Drosophila melanogaster: one gene and its partner. The protein of the gene in region 1 interacts with the protein of each later gene in a pairwise test. Each region holds a gene or a part of one and is shown in the gene's direction. Other genes may lie near its edges.

The links. Proteins that work in one complex are often made in the same cells at the same time.
Region 2: the proteins of CG7080 (region 1) and Sox15 interact in a two-hybrid assay, tested with the Drosophila melanogaster proteins (one large-scale study listed by BioGRID).

What each region holds. Positions count from the first base shown.
Region 1 is NT_033777.3:22,326,679-22,331,937, forward strand, and holds CG7080 (uncharacterized protein), read left to right. Parts: upstream 1-2,621; 5' UTR 2,622-2,689; coding exon 2,690-2,719; intron 2,720-2,788; coding exon 2,789-3,763; 3' UTR 3,764-3,868; downstream 3,869-5,259. Other genes in the region: CG33721 (uncharacterized protein), read left to right, coding at 4,391-4,450, 4,516-4,671, 4,732-4,905, 4,968-5,123.
Region 2 is NT_033778.4:14,208,447-14,214,554, reverse strand, and holds the start of Sox15 (Sox box protein 15), read left to right. Parts: upstream 1-2,141; 5' UTR 2,142-3,214; coding exon 3,215-3,267; intron 3,268-6,108.

The sequences.
Region 1 (5,259 bases):
GCTGCAAACACACACACACACACATATGTCTACGCCTTTGAATGTGTGTGTCTGCTACAGTTACAAAAAAAAATGAAAAAAATAAGGCAAAAATCGCTGCTTGAAGTGGTGGTTGAATTTTGCACTTTTTTTTCTTATTTTTGTCTTGCAACGTGCAAATGGAAAAAGAGTTGCAAATTTTCTACTCCTGCTGTTCTGCGCAACACATGCGCCATTATGCAATTGATTTTTCTTCGTTTTTTTTACGAGTTTTCCAACGCTGTTGCATTGTTTGTACGCCGCTGACTTTTCTCCCCGGCTTTCTTGTGTTTTTACGTTTTTTGGTTCACTTGCCTGTCAAAGGTCATTCAACTTGGCTGCTACTAATTTGCCGCTGCCCCAGCAGGTGCGCCTAATTAAGCAGATCCCCTGCTAGCAACTAAAGCCCAAAAGTCGGCAACAAAGCGGCTAGCAAGCTCACTCACACATGTACAGAGGCAGGTGTCTAAAGTGACGCTTTATATGGCGAAAAATAAACTGGAAAAAACACGCACACAAACATGCGGAAGAATTGCACGTGCTCTATCTCCTCAGAGGTTGCATGCAACTTGGCTGGGGCTCATAACCCTGAATGCATGACTGCAATGAATGCAAACAGGCTGCAGAGACAGACGACTCACAGACGCACCCACACTCCAGATGAAGAGGACACTACGCCGGCCCAGCCATGCACCACCCACCCACCACCTTCCACTCAAGCTCTCCCTGCTTTTAAGACTTAACTGCAGCAGATTGCGTATACGCAGCATTGGCCACTTGCATTATGAGCACCTCCTACTCTCGTGTCAGCGTGATAAGCCACCGCATCTCGGCATCTACATTTCCATTTGCGACAGCTGCCCGCGTTTTGTGCGTTCTTACACTGCGTTCTAATTCCAAAGAAAAATGTTAGGAACTATTTGAATATTTTATAAGGAGAATATACAATGCACCATGTTACTAAAATTTCTATTTGTGGTCTACTAGGGTAAAAATTAAAAAATACTCTCATTAGGCAATTAATTGAGACTCTTTTTTCGAGTGTACCACCCTCTGCAGGACCGAAGGTCCCGCTGATCTCGGCTGCATTCATGGCGAATGTCAAGTGTTGGCAGTTGGCTTGCCAAGATGTTTTGTTTGACGCCGGAACAACGCCAGCAACATTTGCTGTGTCAAGTGGCAGTCAAGTGCATTTAACAGGGCGCGTCTTTGATTGACGTTAGCCCGCGTTCGGGAACTATGGCAAAGGGAGCAGGACGAAGGACGAGGACAATCGCCAAGGAATTTAGCTGCAGGCGACTGCGTGGCAATTGTCAAACGGAAACGCAGAAACAAAGACGACGTCAGCACAATCCGAATATCAAAGTCTGGCTTCCTTTAATGCTCAAGAGCTGTAACATTTCTGGTGCGTGTCAATCGCTTAATCCGGCCGAATGGGAATCGGATTGGGTTGCAACATCGGAGCCAGCAAATCAACTGGTTTGCTGCATATTTATGAATACGTCTGGTTAGCCTAATTATGTACGAAACGACAATGAAAGATGGGTCTGAAGTTGAGCATCTATTTTGTGTAAAGTTACAACACAGCACTTGGAAAATGCAGTTTCTCTTCTCCTTTAAAGACCACATATATATTACAAGCAATCAACGTACCATTATAAGGTAACTCCCTCACACTAAACAATGAATTTATATTTGAATTGTGTGCGTAAGGTGATCAACACCTATAAACACATTATGAGCAATCTGAAAGACATAAAAACTTCAAAATAACGCACCTATAAAAATAGATTAAACGGGCCTTATGCGAGTTTAATAGTTTGCAAATCATTTGCAAATCAGCAGACATATTTAAACACAAGCATAAAGTTATATAGTTATGCCTGCGTATTTGAGCCAAGATCCAACTTTTACTTTTCGCCGAGCTTCAAAACATAACTTGCTTCGCAGAAAGCGCAGACCGATGATGCGAGGCGAATTAAATTACATTAAACTTGGCCAAAGCGAACCGTACTGAAGTGGCTAAAAGCGGAAAGGCCGAAACCATTTTCACGGCCCTCAGCACTAAAAAAAAATGTGGTATATTTCCGTGGACTAGAAATTAGCATAAGCAACAAAACTATGAATAGGCAATTATTGTTGTTAACTCTATTACACATACATCTAAATTTAAGATTATAACTATTATTTAAAGTGGCAAGATATTTGGATGAAAGCCTTAAGCTTTTTTAGAACTGTCATAATTTTTCCGAGTGCGTGGTGAAATGCAGGTAGACAATGAAGAGCAGCCAGAGCAGCAGAGCTGGCACTTTAATTACGACAAAATTTGCGTGAGTGATAGTCAAATGATGCCGCAAGCATCATTCGAGTGTTGGAGCGGGGTAAAAAGGTAAAAAGGTAAACAAATAAGAAATAAACACCGCAGAGACAATAAATGGAAAAGAAATTATGAAATTATGTGTTCGAACTGTTACAACGAATCAGAGCCAGCTGGCAAAAGTGGCGGCAGTCGGAGCCATACTATACCGAGCTATGCCAAAACCCGTTTTCGGAGTGATCTTCTGGCGGGTTGGGTTGGCTTGGCGGGTGTCTGCCCTGCCGAAGTTCATTTAGTTGCCAGCCGGCGAAGAGTTCACAACGCGTCGAGTGTCCAACAAAAAAAGCGAGCAAGATGCCCTCCATATGGCTGTTAGTCTCGACGGTGGGTTAACTAGTGCTGCCGTTAAAAAAAGGATATACCTTTAAGCTGGATTAAATTCTTTACCCACAGCTGGCTTTGGTTAGCTGCCAGGACTATCATTACCACCGTCCACAGACTCCTTTCGTTGCGGAATCTTACCATCAGCACCAGCAGCCTCAAGCCACCAAGTTTGTGGTGCAGACTTTGGGTCGCACCTACGGTTTGGAAACCCAAAGGGCACCAGCCATCTATGAGGATTATCAGACGCATATTGTGCAGCTCTTCCAGCAGCGACAGGTGCCGCAGTATCATCAGGCTCCCCGCCAACAATTGCACACTTCTAGCTACCAGAATCCCCTGCTGGTCAGCGCCAACTACCAGGCCGGCACCGTGTCCTTGGCGCCTCCAGCTCCCGCTGCTCCTGCCCAGCCACTGACCAGCTATGGGCCACCTCACCTGCAGCACCAGTCACAGCCTCTGCAACCTCCACCGCAGACTCCCCAATACTTCCCCCAACAGCAGCAGCCACCTGCAAGCTATTTGCCACCTCAGCAGCCTGCCCAGAAATTGTTCTTCGGCAATCCGTTTCCCTATGCCCCTGTGACGACCGGCTCGGGGCAACAGGTGCTGGATGCAGGACATGGATCAGGTGTGGCGCCCAATGAAGTGCAGGCTCAGCTTTTGCAAGCCACCGGAGCTGCGCCACCACAAACTCGAGTGGGTAACCAGGTGGCTCAGTCGCAGAGCTCCTCTTTGGATGCCTATGACTACAAGCAGAGCACTCCCGGAGAAAACCGAGAGTACCAAAGGTTCGTCACCAGCTGCCCGGGAGGTGGAGCCTGCCAGCAGAAGGAGTTCAATCCAGGCGAGGTGGATGAGAGCCACCAGCGGGTTCTGCAGACAGTGCGAGCCAGTACCCAACCTCGAGTGGAGGGCTGCTACAAGAGCCAGGTGATCTATGTGCCAGCGGGAGCTGCTGTCAATAGTCAGGGTCAGTTGCGACCAAAGAATCGACGCACTTTCGAGCGCAAGGAGCAGGTCCTCTCCAGATACCCCTACAACTAAATGTCCTCTCTAATCTTACTCACCGAATTTCACATCGAATTAGTTGATATGCTTAGTTGTCAGTTTGTTGTTTGTTGTAAATAAATCGATCATTGTTTAAATTTTAAATCACGCATACTTACCGTTTCGGGTGATTAATTTAACAAGCCCAAAAGTAGGCATACAAGTCCATTCGATTCAGCAAATATGTTAATCGCATAACCTGTTGCATGTTGCTCAATCAGCTGGTGATGGTGATATTTTATTGTGGGATTGCATATGGTCGAGCCATGAAATGCTAATTAGCTAAATTGATTACACAGCGAGAAATGGGGTCGATGTACCTAACCACAGATGCAAATGTCTGGTCGTAAATGCAATTGGGAATATAGTATGACCAAAAAAAAACTATTAAAATAGATAAGAAAAGGGAGTTATGGGTTCGCAAAAATATTTTTGATACTAATTAAAATTTGATTGACATATATACATAGCTAATTACGCAGCTTATTATATGTATAGATAATATTTAAATGGTTCCAGATCAATAAAAACACTTTGTAATTAATCAATTTCTCATTACCAAACCACATTTAGTTTATGAAAATTGTATGACTTTAGTCATCGTTGGCTTGTTCAGTTACACAAATGTACTCCAAGGCAGCAAAATTGTTTGTGCTAGTTATATTTTTTGGAAATATAATGGAAGTAAGGATACAATAAAATTAAGCATCTTACATTATAAAGATGCAGTCATTTGTTTTTAACCCCAGAATGCCTCCAAGTTGGAGTTTACGAATTTTAAGTGTCATGTGAAGGACCCGACTTATTTGAGCTTCGAGTACTGTTTCATAAAATCCGTAAATCGAACCTATAAGTACATATCACTCAAGGCCAACATGTACGAAGTACCTATTACAAACGCATCGGTATGTATTAAAAAAAAATGGCTTAAAAATCCCACTCACTAAGCGTATATATTGATGTAGGCAAAACTTCAAATTTCGAGAAGATTTCGGTCCTATATGCCCATAACCATAGCCGCCAGCATAGATGTTTGCAAATATATGGCTTACAAGAAGAACTTGGCCAATCCGATGCTCAGACTTTTCGAGGAGATCACCAAAAAATACACAAATACCAACCATAAATGTCCCTATGATGTGGGTTAATGAGAACTTTTCAAATGATTATTTCTAGATGTTATACAATAACATTTTTACAGCACGACCTTATCATAGACAGACTTCCCTCCAAATATCTGAGTGAGCACTTTACCAACATCCTTCCACTCCCACCTGGGGATTACAGTTTTAACAGCATATGGTACAGCAGAAACATAGAACGGGCCACCATCTCCATATATTATACTGTATCATAATCAGAAGCAGCGGTTTAAAATTTATTAAAATTATCAAACAATTCTACGTTATTGCTTATGTTAATATTGTCGCCTTTTTCTCTCTCTTAGTGATTTGATTATGTCATAAGCGTTAACATAATTGCATAATAGGTTC
Region 2 (6,108 bases), on another chromosome or scaffold:
ACTTCGAATCGGGCTCGATTTGGAGTGGAGCTGTCTGATTTCTTGCAGTGCCTCGGTTCGATCTGCTTATCAATAATTTGTTTTTTTTTCTCCTCTTTGCCGCATTTAGGCAGAGATTCGCTGGCGATAGCCGCTCAAGTGTCACACGCCCACATTTTTGGAGCAGTCGATGTCGATGGAGCGGCTATTTGCACATACGCCACGCCAATAAACTTGTACCCACCACCGAGGCACGCTTTGATCCGATCCTCATTCGCAATCTTTACCCCGCTTCCCATTCCTGTTCTCTCGGCCTTTAGTCTTTGGTCTTTGGGGTTTCAGACTTCAGTGCTCGGTCGCCAGTCTTCAGTCTCCAGTCTCCAGCCTTCTCGATCGGCACACGCTTGCGCTGCAGTTGCTCCCCCCCTTTTGGGATTTTCTTTCTTTTGGTCTGACCGATGCTCCGATGGTCGGAGGAACCTTTTGGCCGCTGCCCGATCCCCCGCCCCGCACCTGTGCACATGCATAAATCGACGAATCCACGACCACGAATCCGCGAAGACTTGGGCCTCGCATCGCCGGCGGCAATTATCGCGATGTGATAAACAAATATTTTGCATCTATGGCAAGAGGAAGCGAAGGCTTTCCCGGCATTCTGGCGCTTAATTATGAACTCCGGCTGGGCTTGGGGATGGAGGTAGCCCCATCCGAGTACGAGTTTATTATTATTAAATGCCCTGCGCGTGGCCGCATGCACTTTTACCTGCCAACGTACTTGACTCGTCTTCTGGGAGGTTCGTCGCTTTTCTACCTCCTCATCTTCATCTCGATTTTTTTGTGCCTTTGATTTTTTTTATTTTTTGGGCTTGGCTGTGCGGTTCGCTGGCAGCAGTTGTTGCAATATGCAATTTGGCTGCTTATCTCCAGTTGGATACCAATCAGCTTGGCCCCAAAAACTTTGGTGGGTGGAGAGTGAAATAAAAATTAAATATGGCTCTATTTGAATATTACAGCCGCTTTCAAGGCATTGGGCTCACTGGGCGGATACTTAATGGACAGTAAGATGGTATTAAGATAAGCATTTTCAACTGTGATCTATTCCATGATATATATTTTATTAAATATATAAGAACTTTGTTTTAATGTTAAGAGAGTTGGTATAGTTACTATTGAGTTGCTGATCAGAGAATGTATTAGTTTTTGTGTAGATTTATGAATATTGTATCTATGAGCTACTTTTTGATTTACATTCTGTTAAAATCTATTTGATAGTGAACAAGATAGTATGACTTACTACTAACAAATTGTTTTGTAAGTTTAAACTCTTTACAAACTGCCTGAAAATCCCTTTCATTCCCATTTAGTCACCTTTTGATTAATGACTTTCGTTGCTTTCCATTTGCTTAGAGATTGCCAATTTAAACATTTGCGAATCTTTCGCAAAATCTCTCTCTTTCTGAAAGACGGTGCCCCATTTGATCCAAATAACACCCTTTTCCCAGAGGTTCCGAACATTACGATATTTGCATACGCTGGCTTCCGTGTATGGGTGCTATCCCCCCATCCGCTAGTATATGCATGTGCACATACAGACGTACGGTTGTGTATATATGGACCCCAACGACATTGGGGGCCTCCACCAATTGAAACAAACCAAATGCAAAGTTGTCTCTCCCACAACAAACGGATCTCGGGGAACAGGTTTTACATTTCTGAAAGTGAGACCGAGAGATCGCGAGAGTCCGAAACAAAACGAAACGAACCGAACGAACGAACGAATGAATATTAAACAAGCTCTGTGTTTCATTAGATTCAAAAGAACTCGCCGCTGCTCTCGGTTCGGAGGCTATGGGTAAAGTATACTTGTCTATGGTACGGCATAGTCTGGGAGACAGGGCCAAGTCACCTGGGCTCGGACCAGAGCCACTTGCTCGTTCCGCATCGATGAACAGCTGCTGCTGCTGCCGCTGCCGCCACTCTCTGGCTGTTTCGATTCAAGACTGCGCGAAAGGTTCAGCTTATGGCTTTTCGCTTTTTGGCCTTATGCACGGGCTCTGAAGGCAGAGACACCTCAGTTCGGTTCACAATCTCCCAGCTCCCCAGCTGCCAGCCGCCAGCTCACAGTTCCCCCAGTTCGCGAGAGCGTCGATCGGTCGTCGAGTTCAGTTGGCCTGCGGTTCGTCATCAGCGTGGTTCATGCGGCTCCGACTTTCAGTTCGCCTTTAACTCTGACTCAAGCCCTGGCATCGGCGGAACTCGGTAGTGACTCTGGTGGCTCTCCATTGACATCGCCATCTGCGTCCCCGGGCTGTAATCATAAATATATATATATCTACATACAAACTGGCCCGCTGTACATAGGCCCAGTTAGTTAGTTTGTTAGTTAGTTAGTTAGTTACTTGCTTAGTAGTTGCTGTTGTGCCGTGAATTTTCATTTTCCCAAGAGCGCTATCCGCTGTTTGTATCTTGTGAAATGTCGAAGCCCTTGATTTTAGGCTACGGATACGTTCGTTAGTCAACCTTTAAACAGCTCGCTTTAGGGCCAAAAACTAATGAACAAGTGATTTTAAAGAACGTAGATCAATACCGGTAAAACTATGTAAAAAGTGACACAATCTGTTTAATAAAAAGTTTACATCGTTCCGGTGTTGAAAAGTATCTTTTCAACACCAAGTGCCAATCGAAAATCCAAATTTGAAGTGTGTATTTTTCAATATCTTCAAAATAATCACCAGTGAATAGTGAGATTCAAAAATATATTTACATCACTCGGTGATTGCGAAATTGTGGCCAAAATGTGGGTTAGGCTCTGAGCCACAAACAAAACAAAATCTGACAACAAATGGACGCAAATTCACACATGCCGTGGCACATAAATTTATGGTTGGAACTGTAACTGGGCAAAAATGCTCGGCCCGGCAGACATCAGTAGCAGTAGTAGTGGCACCACCATCACCACCAGCGAACCACCAACCGCCACCACCCACCAATCCACCCGAACCGCCGACAAAGGGAAAAACTAACGGAATAATGCAACATTAAGCAAAATGCTGCTGGCCCTGCTAAAGCAAAGCCAACAACAACAACAACAACACCAATTTCAACCTGCCACCACCGACGTCAGCAACAGCAAAAACAACAGCAACAACTACAACAACAGAAGCAACAACTGCAACTGCAACAACATCAACGTCACCGTCACCGTTACCACGAACATCGCCGTTGCCGTATAAAAATGGAACCCTCATATGATCACGAACATCCACATCATCTGCTAACAAATTACAAGTAATATTTACATTTTTCCCATGCTAAAATTTTTTTCTCGCTGTTTAATTATATCCAACCGAAGCGAAGATACATATCTTCAAGATAATAACCATAATGAAAAATGGAAAAGGCGCTCGTGTAGTGGTGAAGAAATTCTCTAGATCGTACATATATATATATATACAATAAATATGTATATACTTATATATATGGGGGCCCATGACTGCGACTTTTCAAGACTTAGTCACAATCACAGATACTAAGATACTAAGATACAAAGATACTAGCGGCGGGCACGACAGCGAGAAACACCGTCGGGGATGTCGAATGCACACTGTGGCAGTAAGCTACAACTATAAAGCACGGTTATATATGTATAAATATATATATATGGGGGTTATACAGTATATAGTATCTGGGAATTTGCTTAGATTTTCCTTGGTGTGGCCCCAGTTTTCAGACCCCGCAGCACTTGCACTTGTATTCGTATCCGCTTCTCGATTCTCTCCGTTTCCCTCGGCAAACGTAAACGTAAACGTAAATATGTAAATGGTCGACTGCGAATAACTTAAGAACCGTCTTCGGACGCGACTCGAAATTGGTCAAGTGGAAAGTAAACCAAGACGCCGGAGAAGTCGGCGGGGGTGGAGACCCTGGGAAAAAGCAGAGGCCAAGAACGCACAGGCGACGCACCGAGAAGAAGTCTTAACATTTGGTATATTTCGGCCAGAGGTCAGGCCATTATAAAGATTTGTATCCGATCTACACAGCTTGATAGATACGCATGAGGTTTTAATATCCATATATAAGTATATGACTGTATATAAGTATTTCCCCTTTATACGTATTAGCTAGCCATTTCAGCTGACTGACTTTCGTAGTTTCCGACGGGAAATTCCCGTCTACAAATTGGCTGGAATTATGAATGGAAATGAAGCCATGAAATTAAATTAAGTACAGATGAAAAGCTCTGATAAGTCCGCACACACTTTTCGTAAGAAATTCGAAACCGAAAATCACAATTAAGAATGTCTCATGGGCGAAAGCCTGTCGCATTTTTCGTCACATTTTCCAAATCTTCCTGCTTGGGATTGGCTCATCACGGGACGGGGCATTTCATTTCATTCAGTTTGATCTTTTATGGCTGCCCCATAAATCAAGTCAAGGCTGCGATCTACCTAAAGTTTGCTAACTTCGTTTTCAATCTAAATAGTTTTCAATATCAAATAAAATTCTATGGCCAATAAACAACCATCTGTATATGTGGATTTCCAATCAATGTTTGAAAATTAATTAAGGCTTTACCGTGACTAAGCTGGATTGGAAATGCATATATCCAATTGAAATTTACTTATTTCCTTTAGAACTTGTTTTTGATTGTCCGCCTTTTACACATTTCCCGGATACTAAAAGTGAATAGTATTTAAGAATTAATGTTTGCTTGATCATTTCTGGACTTTCCCTACTGCAACCAGGAACTTAAGTTTTCATTGACGTAAAAGGAGATTCCAATGGTTGTAACTTCTTGGAAGAGAGAGATAAATCTTTCGAAATGTTTATAAATCGTGTTTGGACAGCTTAATCGCCTAATTGTATTGATGAATCTGAAGAGTACACTCCTATTTTAAAATGAAATCCTATTTTAACTTGATATAACAGAATTTAATGTATTACAACTACATGCCATTCACGGCAATCAAACTATTATATTATGTGAGCAAAAATCCCTTTCCATTCAACAAAAAATCATATAAGAATTTCTTTAGGAATTTAAATATTCAATATCATCAAAAACAATACTGAATACTTTGTCAGATTTCTAGTGAAACCTTAGATGCGTGCTTAGTAACTGTAATATTGAAGTGGAAAAATAAAAACATTTACCATTAAACAGGATAATAGAGGAGATCGCCAAAGTGGTTAGACATATCCGATTCGACGTAACATCAATGATATGTCATGATTGGCATTAAACTTGGCAGATTACCAAGGAAATTAAATTATTGCTCATTCAACATTTCCCGAATGGCAGAAAAGTGATTTTCGGTACTTTCACTGTAGATTTAAAAACCTGATAAATACTTTTGGTCGATTTAAAAATACATGAGAAAAAATCCAAATCTAACTTGCCGTTTTAAACGCTTATAATTTGTTAACAAAATATTTATATAAAACGTTTTGCAATTATACTAAACTGACCTAAAGTTGGACTTCGCATTTTTAAAATTTCTTTAAAATTGTTTTATGGTTGTAGGATAATTTAAAAAAATGTAAAAGAATACAAATTTATTCACTAACATATACATAACAGAAGATCACAAAAAGCTTAATACACGGGAATACACCCGAAACTAAAACTAAAACTGATTTTAAAAGATATTCCTGCCCGCAAAATCGAACTTACTTCACATGAGCCACATAAATGTTTTCTGAGTAATTAATTTTAATAGCACTAATTAGTGGTCTAATAACATTTAAGGCAGTCAACACCCTGTAAAACGTCAACCCTAAAAAAAAATATAAGGGTTGGAACCTTTGAAAACACCCTGATTTAAGTCCGGTTAGTTGTTTTCGAATCCAGCCAACTAGCTAAGTACGGATCCTCCACATGCAATTACTCTACTTAGTGGTACGAGCATGCAGCACTGCCTCCATTTCCATGCAATCCATATAATTTAGTACCCCTCCACCTGCGAGGGTGTATACGTATAAGTATCTGTATGTGTATCTGTATCTGAGCACGTACATGTATCTGTTGGCTGCGTGTGCTGGTGTGCGTGCTAAAATCCATTAAATTTTTGTATCTTTTTTATGCTCCTAAAATCGCTTGTGTGAGAACTGGGTCTTCGTTGTTTCTTC